Coturnix japonica: one gene and its partner. Each later gene encodes a partner of the first gene's protein in a complex. Links are inferred from orthologs where the notes say so. Each region holds a gene or a part of one and is shown in the gene's direction. Other genes may lie near its edges.

What was found. Proteins that work in one complex are often made in the same cells at the same time.
Region 2: EXOSC2 (region 1) and EXOSC1 share a complex: the UniProt entries of both Homo sapiens proteins name them as parts of the RNA exosome core complex. The link is inferred for Coturnix japonica from reciprocal best matches to the Homo sapiens genes EXOSC2 and EXOSC1.

The regions. Positions count from the first base shown.
Region 1 is NC_029532.1:4,557,035-4,563,522, forward strand, and holds the start of EXOSC2 (exosome complex component RRP4), read left to right. Parts: upstream 1-2,463; 5' UTR 2,464-2,502; coding exon 2,503-2,627; intron 2,628-2,700; coding exon 2,701-2,802; intron 2,803-2,980; coding exon 2,981-3,026; intron 3,027-4,168; coding exon 4,169-4,258; intron 4,259-4,462; coding exon 4,463-4,528; intron 4,529-4,677; coding exon 4,678-4,746; intron 4,747-5,674; coding exon 5,675-5,851; intron 5,852-6,031; coding exon 6,032-6,160; intron 6,161-6,488. Other genes in the region: PRDM12 (PR domain zinc finger protein 12), read left to right, coding at 716-1,098. UniProt on the Homo sapiens protein: Non-catalytic component of the RNA exosome complex which has 3'->5' exoribonuclease activity and participates in a multitude of cellular RNA processing and degradation events.
Region 2 is NC_029521.1:19,501,314-19,506,974, forward strand, and holds EXOSC1 (exosome complex component CSL4), read left to right. Parts: upstream 1-2,377; coding exon 2,378-2,408; intron 2,409-2,481; coding exon 2,482-2,597; intron 2,598-2,727; coding exon 2,728-2,802; intron 2,803-2,955; coding exon 2,956-3,044; intron 3,045-3,198; coding exon 3,199-3,232; intron 3,233-3,367; coding exon 3,368-3,418; intron 3,419-3,516; coding exon 3,517-3,601; intron 3,602-3,770; coding exon 3,771-3,877; 3' UTR 3,878-4,004; downstream 4,005-5,661. Other genes in the region: palmitoyltransferase ZDHHC16, read right to left, coding at 80-171, 318-572, 706-958, 2,111-2,379; PGAM1 (phosphoglycerate mutase 1), read right to left, coding at 5,280-5,449, 5,553-5,661. UniProt on the Homo sapiens protein: Non-catalytic component of the RNA exosome complex which has 3'->5' exoribonuclease activity and participates in a multitude of cellular RNA processing and degradation events.

The DNA.
Region 1 (6,488 bases):
TTCCCTTCTCACCCCAACCCCAGCTCTGAGGGCAGGGTGGGCATGGGGCAGGGTGGGCATGGGGCAGGGTGGGCATGCATATGGAGCTCTGAGCAGCACAGCATATCCCATGCTGGGCACACAGCCTTCCATATCCCCACGATCCTATAGAGAGGAGCCCATCAGCCTCACCTGTAAGACAGAGCCCACCTCCCACAGAACAGAGCCTGCAGCTTGGGCAGATCCCCAGCAATTTGGGACCCCATGGTCCACTGCCTGAGCAAGTGTGGAGCTGCCAGGTGGGGAGGAAGGAGCCCCAATACACCGTGAGGTGCTGGGATGCACTCATCCATTTCCCTGCTCCGCATTTAACCTTATTTCTCTGAATAGCCAGTGCAGGAGGCTTTGGCTCTGTCTATCCCAGCTGTGCCATGTGCAGGCAGTGCAGCTCCTGAGCCTTATTGGGAACGCTGTGCTCTGAGCTGTGTCCTGTCCCATTCAATTCCCCCTTTCCTTAGTGCTGCATGCTCTGAGTGAGCCCCAAAGCAGATCCCAATGGGGCTGGGGGAGAAGCTGGGACTGGAGCAGGTTTGTTACAGCCACAGATCCCCACTGAGAGCTGCTGGTCACAACATTGCTGTGGGTGCAGTGTGCAGCATGGGGTGGTTATATATGGCACAGAAAGGGGTGTGAGCAGGGCACAACCTGACCGTCCATCCCCTTGTATTGCTCGCAGAGGACTTCCATGCAGTGGAGACCGGGGCCAGCACCACGGGTCGCATGCGCTGCGTCATCTGCCACCGCGGCTTCAACTCCCGCAGCAACCTGCGCTCCCACATGCGCATCCACACCTTGGACAAGCCCTTCGTGTGTCGCTTCTGCAACCGGCGCTTCAGCCAATCCTCCACCCTGCGTAACCACGTCCGTTTGCACACCGGAGAGCGGCCCTATAAGTGCCAGGTGTGTCAAAGTGCCTATTCCCAGCTGGCCGGGTTACGGGCGCATCAGAAAAGCGCCCGTCATCGACCCCCCAATGCATCCCTGCAGGCTCATTCGCCTGCCCTACCCGTGCCCCATCCCGCTTCCTTGGCCCATCACATCCCCACCATGGTGCTGTGAGCCATGGAACGGCAGCAGCACGTTTCTGGATGGTCGCTGCCCACGTGCAAAGACTGGCATTGAGATGTGTGAGGAACTGGGAGCCCGTGGCAGAGCCGCTGCTCTGAGTTTGCATTGGGAGCATCAGCGTTTCCATAGGGTTTGGTGGGAAAGGGAGAATGGGAGGGCACGGCAGGACATCCCGTGTGGATTTTGCTGGTGTGTTCGGAGCTGCGGCTGCACCTGGATGAATCAAGGTTGGGTTTTATGGATCATTTGATAGGAAGGAAAATTGCTTTTGTCCTTTCTCCTCTGTGCCAGCGAGCGCCCAGCAAGGAGACGTGGCACAGCATCACTGGGACCATCAGCTTTGTCTGTTCAGCCGAGTTGGGTTTTCCTCCCTCTATCCCCAGCTGTGCCATGGGGTTTGTCTACATGCCACCAAGGGATGGGAGGCTGAGATGGGCTGTGAGACCCCCGAGGTCAGGCTGCCCGGGGCTCTGAGCACTGTGTGTGTAGGGAGTTGGACCAGGCGGCCTTTAGGAGGGGTTTGAGGGGGGTCCCTTCCAACTTGGACCATGCAATGACGGCCCAGCAGCTGCTCAGCCCCATCCAGCCCTAAGGGAGCGCTCAGCTCTGCTGCCCTCTGGGGACCGCACAGCCCGGAGCGGCTGTTCCCATTAACTTGGAAGGTTGTTGTGTTCATCCTAAATCCGAGGTGTATAAAAGCTCTCATAAAAATAAAAACACTGCGTTTTACTGCCAGAAAAGGGAAAAAAAGAAAAACCCAAGAAGGAAAATATATAATAACCCGTCACTTTAACTTTGTAAATATTTATGTAAAACATTATTTACAAGCCTTTGATATTCTATATTATGGGATTGTATACGCACAGCGCTGTAAATACATTTGTACCTCTCTCTTGTACTCGAAATAAAAAGCGATTCGGGACCGAGCGTGGTTTAAATTGGGGGGAGGGGGGGGCTGTGGGTCCAACCCCATTAATGGGTGCTGGGACCCATAGGGAGCACTCAGCCCCATAGGGATGGATGGGACCCATAGGGATGGATGGGACCCATAGGGATGTATGGGACCCATAGGGGGGCACTCAGCGCCATAGGGAAGGCTGGGACCCATAGGGGGGCACTCAGCCCCATAGGGATGGATGGGACCCATAGGGGAGCACTCAGCCCCATAGGGATGGCTGGGACCCATAGGGGAGCACTCAGCCCCATAGGGATGGATGAGACCCATAGGGGAGCACCCCCTGCCCCATTCACATCGCTGCCCCCCCCCAACCTCCCTGCCAGGAACCAAAATGGCCGCCCTGTACCCAACCCACGTGACTCTCGTTACGGCCCTCATTCAAGATGGCGTCCGGAAGTCACGTGTAACCGCAAGGCGCAGTTCCGCCTTCAACCAAGATGGCGGCGGTGTCCATGCGGCTGCCCGTGATCCGTAAAGCCGTGGGGCCCAGCCGGCCTCGGGGCGGCGAGAAACACCTGGTTGTACCCGGAGACACCATCACTACGGACACGGGATACATGAGGTGGGGATGGAGGAGCATTAGGGGACGGGGCAGGCCGCGGTTTGGGCTCTAATGGCGTCCGTTCTGTCTGCAGGGGACACGGCACCTATGTGGATGAGGAGAAGCTCGTCGCCTCGGTGGCTGGAGCTGTGGAGAGGGTGAATAAATTGGTGTGTGTGACACCGCTACAGAGCAGGTGAATATAGGGACGGGATGTGCAATGGGATGGGTAATAATGGTGTGTAATGTGTGTTAATGCTGTGTAATAATGCTGTGTAATGTGTGTTAATGCTGTGTAATAATGCTGTGTAATAATGGTGTGTAATAATGCTGTGTTAATGCTGTGTTAATGCTGTGCTCTGTCCCACCGCCAGGTACAACGGGGAGGTCGGAGACATCGTGGTCGGGAGGATCACGGAGGTGAGGAGCTGGGAGGACACGGGAGAACGTGATGAGGTCTGACAAAGAAAGAGTGAGATGCTGGAGCACAGAGAGCACTGTGCCATGCAGAGCTGCAGGAGGGCGTTGGTGGCAACCGTAGTGCCCATCCGGATCCATTGTAATGAGCTGCCGTCCAGTGCGCCCATAGGGGGAACAGGGACCCCACACTAAAGGGGGGGACACATAGGGATGGATGGGATCTATAGGGATGGATGGGATCTATAGGGGATGGATGGGACACATAGGGATGGATGGGACACATAGGGGAGTACTCAGCCACATAGGGATGGCTGGCGCCCATAGGGATGGCTGGGACCCATAGGGGAGCACTCAGCCCCATAGGGATGGCTGGGACCCATAGGGGAGCACTCAGCCCCATAGGGATGGCTGGGACCCATAGGGTTGGATGCATGCAGTGCAAGCTGTGGGACAGGGAGGTGGGCATGTCCTCGTGTGAGGCCCCATCTGTAGCACTGTGTCCTGGTGGGGCATCCTCGGTGCAGGATGGACATGGATCTGTTGGAGCACATCCACAGGATGACCGTAAAAGTGATCCGAGGGATGGAACAGCTCCCTGCGGGGACAGGCTGAGAGCTGGGGCTGTGCAGCATGGAGAGGAGATGGCGCTGGAGAGAGCTGAGAGCAGCCTGTCATTATCTAAAGTATCTTTCTGTAAGGAAGAAGGGGACTGACTTCTTAGCAGGGTCTGTTGTGATAGGACAAGGGGAAATGGTTTCAGTCTCAACAGGAGAGATTTACATTCAATATAAGGAGGATGTCTTTTACAATAAGGGCAATGAGGCGCTGGCACAAGTTACTCAGGGTGGTTGTGGTTGCCTCACCCCCACAGACATTCAGGATCAGAGCTGGACGGGGCTCTGTGCACCTGAGGGACCTGCAGGTGTCCCTGTTCATTACTGGGAGTTGTACCAGGTGGCTTTTAATGCTCTTTTCCAACTGAAATGATTCCTTCTCTGACAGCCTCTGCTGCACTGGCCGGTCATTTCTTATGGCTGTCACAGTGCTTTGCTATAGAGTCAGTCATCTGCATGACTTCCCACTTAGATTAGAGACTTAGTTCATTTTCTGAGTGTACATTAACGTTGTTTTTTCTTCACCAGGTTCAACAGAAACGATGGAAAGTGGAAACCAATTCCAGGCTGGATTCAGTCCTGTTGTTGTCGTCTATGAATTTACCTGGTGGGGAACTGGTGAGCACAGTTTGTGCAGAGAAGGACCACAGTGCTGCAGGGCAGGATGCTCTGAGCCCCTCCTGCAGTTAGCACACGTGTGGTTTTGACTTCCCATGCATTTTGCACAGTGTCCTAAGGAGATGATCCTCTCTTTGTGTTGCTGTTAATTAATGTTTTCTCATTCTACGTGACCCATAACTTTTCTTGCATTGTCCATTTTAGAGGAGGAGATCAGCAGAAGATGAGCTTGCAATGAGGGACTATCTGCAGGAAGGGGATCTCATCAGTGTATCCTTTCACTGCTTGTACTTGGACAGAAGAGTCAAAGGGATTGGAAGGGGGAACAGCCAGACCTCAGGCAGGCAGGGAAAGCTCTGTTGGTGGCTGTTGGTACAGGGCAGCATGAAGAAGTCTGTTTCCTTAAGAGGCACTGACAGGCAGAGGTCCAGTCTGTGTTTTCAGATGGGGCTGTATCACTGCACACCAGGAGTCTGAAATATGGGAAGGTATGTTGTTCAAAAGTCTCATTTTGTGCTGGTTGGATTGTATGAGTCTCTAACCCTTGTGCTTAGTGGTCTGTTAGAGGGTCAGATCTTGTTAAATACAGTGCAGTTCTATCCATGTCAGTAGAATTTCTTTGTATTTATATCGAGATAGCATCAGGATAGAGGTTTGGGGGGAGATCCTTAAGGAATAAAAGGCTCTGCAGTAGAGTATGATATTATAGCCCTTGTCAGTAGGTTAGGAAGAATTTTAGCTCCTACATGGGAGCTCAAAGCAGAGTTCCTCATTGCACACATTCCCTCTGAACTGCTGCTGTCCCTCTCCACAGTTACTGCATGAATCCATTTCTCCCACCAGTTGCTTGGGACTTGAGCTCTGGGAAGAAAAATCTTCTATCTCAAACTTTATCGCTCTTCTTCTGCAGGTCATTGTCCCCATGGCTTGCTGCTCACTCCAGGGCTCTATTTTAGGCTTTATGCAGTTGGCATTTATCTCTGTTTTTGCACATTGAAATAAGCCAAGGGGGCTGCAGTTGGGATTACTAGACCAAAGGTATTAGCACTTAAAAGATAAAAGCAAAATGTGCTTTTTGCACAGAGGGTGAAGGACAGAGACTGGATTAAGAGGGAAAGTGTTCTGCTGAATTGGGCCTCTCGCTCCTCGTTTTTCTGCAGGATGGTTGATGTCTAGTTACAATCAAGACATTATTAACATTTATGCTAAGCACTGAGAGTATTCTTCATCTTCAAAGGGCTGCACAGGGCATTAGCTAATCCTCCCAGCACTCCCAGAGGCAAGCAGGTTTTATATTCACCGTTTCACAGGAAAAGATGTTAAATTGGCTGGTTCCTGGAGTGCATGTCGGTGACTGGATATTACCTGTTGGCAGCACGTTGTCTCTCATGCTGAGTCTCATGGTCTCCTCTTCAGCTTGGTCAGGGTGTGCTTGTTCAGGTCTCACCCTCCCTTGTGAAACGCCAGAAGACTCACTTCCATGACTTGCCCTGTGGTGCATCTGTGATCCTCGGCAACAACGGTTTCATCTGGATCTACCCAACTCCAGAACAGAAAGATGAAGAAGCAGGGGGCTTCACAACCAACTTAGAGGTGAGGGGACGGGGAAAATGATGAGCCGTGTTCTACCAATGGTGCTGTGCTAGTTGAGATCCAGGAGGCATGTGAATCATTTAAGAAGTGGTATTAGATTTGTGGCAAAATGTTACTTTTTTCCAGGAGACTTGCATGATTTCCCTACATACTCATCTCTGTTCCTCTGTCCTTCCTCAGCCAGTTCCCCTGTCTGACCGGGAGGTGATCTCACGGCTCCGAAACTGCATTGTAGCTCTGGTTACTCAGAAGTTGATGCTCTTCGACACTAGCATCCTGTATTGCTATGAGGCATCCCTTCCTCATCAGGTACAGAAACCAGCGCTGTTTGCTTTATTCCACAGCGTGGGAAAGGATTGGGAAGGCTGAGTCTGCTGCTGCTGAAGTCAATAAATTAGGCAGCAGGGTTTCCTTTAGTCTTCCCAAAAGGTTTGTAGTGACAGCACGAACTTCTGCTCTCATGCATGACAGAAATTGCCTTGGATGTGTATGATGTCCTGGCCGAACTTAAACAATCACAGAGAAAAGGTACGCAGCAAGAGCTCCAACTGGGGGAGCCTTCCAGTCAGTGCAGAATGGCCTTCAGTGAAGGTTTTTTAGCATTTCATTTCTTATGGTCTTTATAAGAGATATTAGC
Region 2 (5,661 bases), on another chromosome or scaffold:
TATGGTGGGGAAGGAGAGGCATCCTGCCCCAGGTAGCAAAGGCACTACCTGATATGGTGGGGAGGTTGGGGAACATTACCTGTTGCAGATGCTGCAGTGGTGGGTGCGAGCCGGCTTGGGGGCAATGCATTTCCTGCAGATGGAGACGCCAGTGAGGTCGTTCTTGGCCTGTACATACATCAGAAAAGAGCATGTGCTCCCAAGCCCCCACACCGTCCCCTGCTCCCCATGTGTTCACCACACTCCCCCAAGCCTGTCTCCCCTCCTAGCCCCCATCTGGAGGAGGCCTCCTGCAATGATACCAACAGTGATCAGCTGTACCTAGTGCCCAGCTGCAAGAGGCTGTGCTGCTCATTGGTGCCCAGGCTCAGCCTCACCTGCGGTGGGTACCCAGGAGAAGTGGTGATGGCCTTGTAATAGTGGAAGACTATCATGATGAGGTTCCAGTGTCCGTAAGCAAGATGCCAGCAGATCCACGCAGGTGTGTATGTCTGCAGGATGAGGGGCAGCAGGCAGATGTATACGATGGCCACAATGGAGCTTGTCAAGCCTATCACCAGTGCCACAAACACCTAAAGGAAAGGGGCTTGGGTCAGTGGAGTGTGCAGAACCTGCCCCATGCTGGCGTCTTCGCTCCCTCCCTAGGACTCGGTGTCCCCAGCAGCATGAACCGCCCCAAACCCCCCTCGCAATGGAGGTACTCACCACACCAAACCAGCGGGTGACGTGGTCCACCAGCCAGTAGATGGGCTCAAAGAGGGAGTCGAGCACCACGTCGCCGTTGGTGAAGGAATTGTAGAGCAGGGAGCGGAGGCAGAGGTGCCCATAGTGCCACAGCTGCCCTGCCTGCCGAACCAGCTTAAAGCGCCGCCGCCGGCCCAGCCGCAGGCACTTGAGGAGCAGGCGCATCACCGCCGCAAACATCCGCTGCCGGCTCCTCATCCCTGCTGCTCCGAACCTGCGGGGAAGGGGCTGGATGTGGGCAGATGCTGGGTGTGGGCAGATGCTGGGTGTGGGCAGATGCTGGGTGTGGGCAGATGCTGGATGTGGGCAGATGCTGGATGTGGGCAGATGCTGGGTGTGGGCAGGCCAGGTGTCAGGCTGCACGGCGGGGCAGGGCTCCTTCACCCTGCGCAGGATGCGGAGCAGAAGCGGGTGGCGCTGAGCCCAAAGGGATGCTGCGCTCCCGAGCTCTGTGTGCGGAGGGGGGACACGGGGCTGTCAGGCTCCGCGCCTGACCTCGGGTGCTCCCTGCTCCCATCTCGTCTTTCCCACAGGGGAGGGGGTTGGGGAGCGACACGGAGAGTCTGACTCAGAGGAAACTGGAGACGGTGAGGGCACATGGGGCGAAGAGCTCATTCCAGGGCAGGGAACGCTCCAAACCCACGGGGATCCCCTCAGCAGCCTTTGCTAATGGATTCGGGAGTGAGGGAGCCCGCACAAAACACGTGCCCTGTTCCTCACACCCAGCAGCACCTGGACGGCTCTTCCTTTTGCCTCAGCCCCGGACCAAGCTGCAGAGCCCATCGCACACCGACCCCAGCAGCTCCCCGGACAGTGCCACGCTGCGCTGTGCCAGGCCGAGCTGCGGGCACTCGGACAGCAGAGGGACGCACCGAGCCCTCGTCCTCCCGCTGAGCCTCTTATCCCACCCGAGGGCCGCGATGGGAGCGAGGAGGAACCCGAGCCGGGCCCGAAATGAGGCAAACGATCCGCCGGGTCAGGGCCCCCGGGCCATCAATATTAACGGCACGGCCGGCCCGGGATGCGGCCAAGGCACGAACCGAGCGCTCCGCTCGGCACCGCGCCAGGCAGCGGCACGGCCCAGCGCCAACACACGGCCCGGGAACACAGAGCGAGCGGCCGGCACACGGCGGGACCGGCACAACCGGCACAACCGGCACACGGCGGGACCGGGACACAGCGGTACCGGCACGGCCGCACGGCGGGTGATGAGCTCCCGCTCCCGGTGACCCCGTGCTGGGCTCAGGGCTGCCCTCGGCCGTGCCAGCCGGTCACGCCGCCCCAAGGCCGCGGGCCCGCCCCGCTCCGTGCCCCGCTCCCCGCCCCGCCGCACCCATCCCGTTCCCGTTCCCGTTCCCGCTCGCACCTGCCGCCCGCTCCCCGCCGCCCGCCGCCATGCCCGGTTCCCGCCGCCCTCACGGCACCGGGCAGCGCCCGCCGCCCCGCGCCTGCGCACTGAGCACAGCGGGCAGGGCCGGCACGAGGCGCCGCACTACGACTCCCAGCGGGCCGCGCGACACCGCCGCTCCCTGAGGTTAAAAGAGAACCAATAGGTATGCCGCTTACATCGCGGCCCCGTCGCTGAGAGCCAATAGGAGGAGGGTTCTTTGCGGGCTCACGCGCGACGCTGAACATGGCGCCACCAGCTCGGTACTGCGTGCCCGGTAAGTGCGGGGCGGGCGGCGGGGGGGGACGGGCCGGTAAGTGCGGGACCGGTGCTGAGCGAGCGACCCGCAGGAGAACGGCTGTGCGGAGCGGACGGAAACGCGGCGGGGAGCGGCACCTACGTGCGGAACGGCAACATCTTCGCTGCGCTGAGCGGATGCGTGCGGCGCTGCGAGCGGGACGGGGCGGTGAGAGCACGGCGGGGAACGGGAAACGGGGCGGGACCGGGCTGAGACCGGGTGTGTGTGTGTGTCTATGTGTGTGTGTGTGTGTCTGTGTGTGTGTCTGTGTGTCTATCCATCTGTCTGTGCCCCGCAGCTGCCCGTGGTGTCGGTGGTGCGGGATGCAGAGGCGCAGCTGCTGCCCGACGTGGGCTCCGTGGTGACGTGTAAGGTGGGTGCCGCTGTCCCCACGTGTCCCCGCGGCCGGGGCCGTGTGCTCGGCTCACGGAGCTCCGGACGGACGGCGGCGGACACTCAAGGAGCCGCCCGGCCCGGCCCGGCCCACGCTGCGCGGGCGCTGAGTGCCCGCCGCCCGTTGGTGCAGGTGTGCAGCATCAACTCCCGGTTTGCCAAAGTGAACATCCTGTACGTTGGCTCCACGCCGCTGAAATCCACCTTCCGTGGCACCATACGGTAGGGAAAGGGCAGGGGGCACACTGCGCGGTGCCTGCCTGCTGCGAGGACAGCTGCGTGGATGCATCTAGCGAGGCCTGGCTGCCGTCCAGGGAGGCCGGGGCAGCTCCTCCTGGCTCTCTCTGGTATCACATTCCTGTGTCTGCTTTTCTAGGAGGGAAGACATTCGAGCTACTGAAAAGGATAAGGTCAGCGGGGCACTGCTGGGTACAGTGCTGTTACAGCTTCCCCCTGTCCAGCTCCCCTCGTGCTGCTGCCCATGGGGTGCCTATCGAGCAGTACCTGCGCTCTCCATGCACTCCTGTCCACTCCCTCCCACGTAGGTAGAAGTCTACAAGAGTTTCCGCCCCGGTGACATAGTCCTGGCCAAAGTCGTATCCTTTCCCATCGCAGTGGGAGGGCCCACGGGCCTGGAGGGTTTGTGCTGGGCTATAGAGGCAGGGAGTCTTTCCCTTAACACAAACCTAACCAGATCTCGCTGGGGGATGCACAGTCCAACTACCTGCTGAGCACGGCAGAGAACGAGCTGGGTGTGGTGGTGGCACGCAGCGACGCAGGTAGGAATCCTCATCTCCATGTGAGGAACAGCCAGTGCAGCATGGGGAGCAAACACCCTCCTTTCCTCCCACTGCTGAGCCTCAGGGGCTGCACGAGGAGGCTTTGGGCTGCTGGGGCTGGGCAGTGTGACAAAGCAGGAAGGGATCTGCTAACTGAGGATGCCTGCAGGGGTGCAGATGGTGCCTATCAGCTGGTGTGAGATGCAGTGCCCACAGACGCACACCAAGGACTTCCGTAAGGTGGCCCGTGTGCAGCCTCAGTTCCTGCAGACATAGCAGCCTCCTCAGGGGTACAGGGACCCCAGGAAAGAGAGCTGCTATGGTGGGGTCCAGCATCTTCCATACAGCAGGATGGGTTTTGTATTTGTGCTGTAAGTAATAAATAAACGTGGTTTTTTTGAGAGCTCTGTGTTCTGCTCAGTCACTGCCCGCAGGGGTTGCTCTGGCTGCCTGTAGCCCTTCTGCTCTGGAGCTGCTGGAGGGGGCTGTTTCTCCCATCAGTGTGGGAGTGAGAAAGTCTGTTCCTGTCCTGGGGAGCAGCGAGGCTTTGAGGCTTAGTGGTACATAGCACCATCTATGGCTGCTGTGCTCATCCCCAGGATGGCTTATCACCTCAGGCCATACATGCCCTTTGTTAGGCAGAGGTGTGGCACAGCCCAGAGCCCATAAAGCACTGCAGTGAATCACTCTTTGCAGCGAGGATTGCAGAACTGTGCTTTGCTGTGCAGTCTGAGCACCTTCTGCACCCACAAGTCAGCAGCAACTTGCGCATCACAGACACGTGGTGGTGCAGGAAATGCGGTGCTAGGCAAAGTGGGAGCTCCACGTGGCGCAGTGGCACAAGGAAACGCTGACATTTAATTATTGCATATTCATCTTTTATTGAACTGGAACAAGACAACTGCTACCGCTGGACAGTTAGATTGACCCAGTGCAAGCCCAGACTCACTACAGCAGCAGTGGGGGAGGCTACAGTGACAGTGCCAAGTAGACGTTTGTGGGATGGGTACACAATGGCATCTAACCACCTCCATGATGCAGGACTAAAGTTGGCTTTGGCTGGAGGAAGCACATGGCAAATACAGATCCCAGACAACACGCTCCTTCCCTTGTCCAAAAGCAATAAGTTAAAGCAGTGGAGCTGGGTTGGGGTTTGCAGGTACTACTACTGGGTGCTGTACTACACACAGGAGCGTGCACCACAGTACAACACATCTGGTGTCTAAGTGTCCTAGTAAAAACCACACAGCCACGAGGGGACCTGGGCACCCATCTTGATCACTGCCCCTTCCTGCCTGTGTCCCACTGCTCCTGTTGTGCTTCTGAAAGAGCTAAACCAAGCAACAAAACTACAGTAGCAGTGACAAGAGCTGCCAGGGAAGCAAGAGAAGCCAGGCATGGCAAAAGATTGCTTGAGAGCATCCCCCCAAGGGCTGGGAACAAAACAACATAGGGCTGCAGTTGCTGCCTGGCAGAGCGAGTACTCCCTTTCACACCAGACCCCTGTGCACACAGCCCCTTACCCCCCAGCTCCCAGGCTGCCTGCAGAGGTGAGCCTGGTGCAAAGGGAAGGGGCCTAACCCTGGGGAGCAGCTCCAAGTTTCTACATCTGTGGGGTGTGCACAGAGGGATGGGGACGGAGGGGACTCATCTACTTGCTAACTCTGCGCACCTGGCCTCATTTCTTGACTTTGCCCTGAGCAGCAACAGCCTCCATGGCCTTGCGCACCGTCTCCGCATCTCCTAGGAACTGCATGGGCTTGACAGGCTTCAGGTTCTTGTCTAATTCGTACACAATTGGGATTCCAGTGGGCAGGTTCAGCTCCATGATGGCCTCTTCGGACATGCCTGCAAACAGAGAACGGATACTCAAAGGGAGGGCAAGGGAGAGCTCTGCATGTATAGAGCAAGGTCAGTGGGGGATCCTGAGCAGCACGCAGAGCTGCCGTACCTTCCAAGTGCTTGACAATCCCCCGCAGGCTGTTGCCATGGGCTGCGATAAGGACTCTCTTGCCCTCTTTGATCTGCGGGACAATTTCCTCATTCCAGAAGGGCAGGGC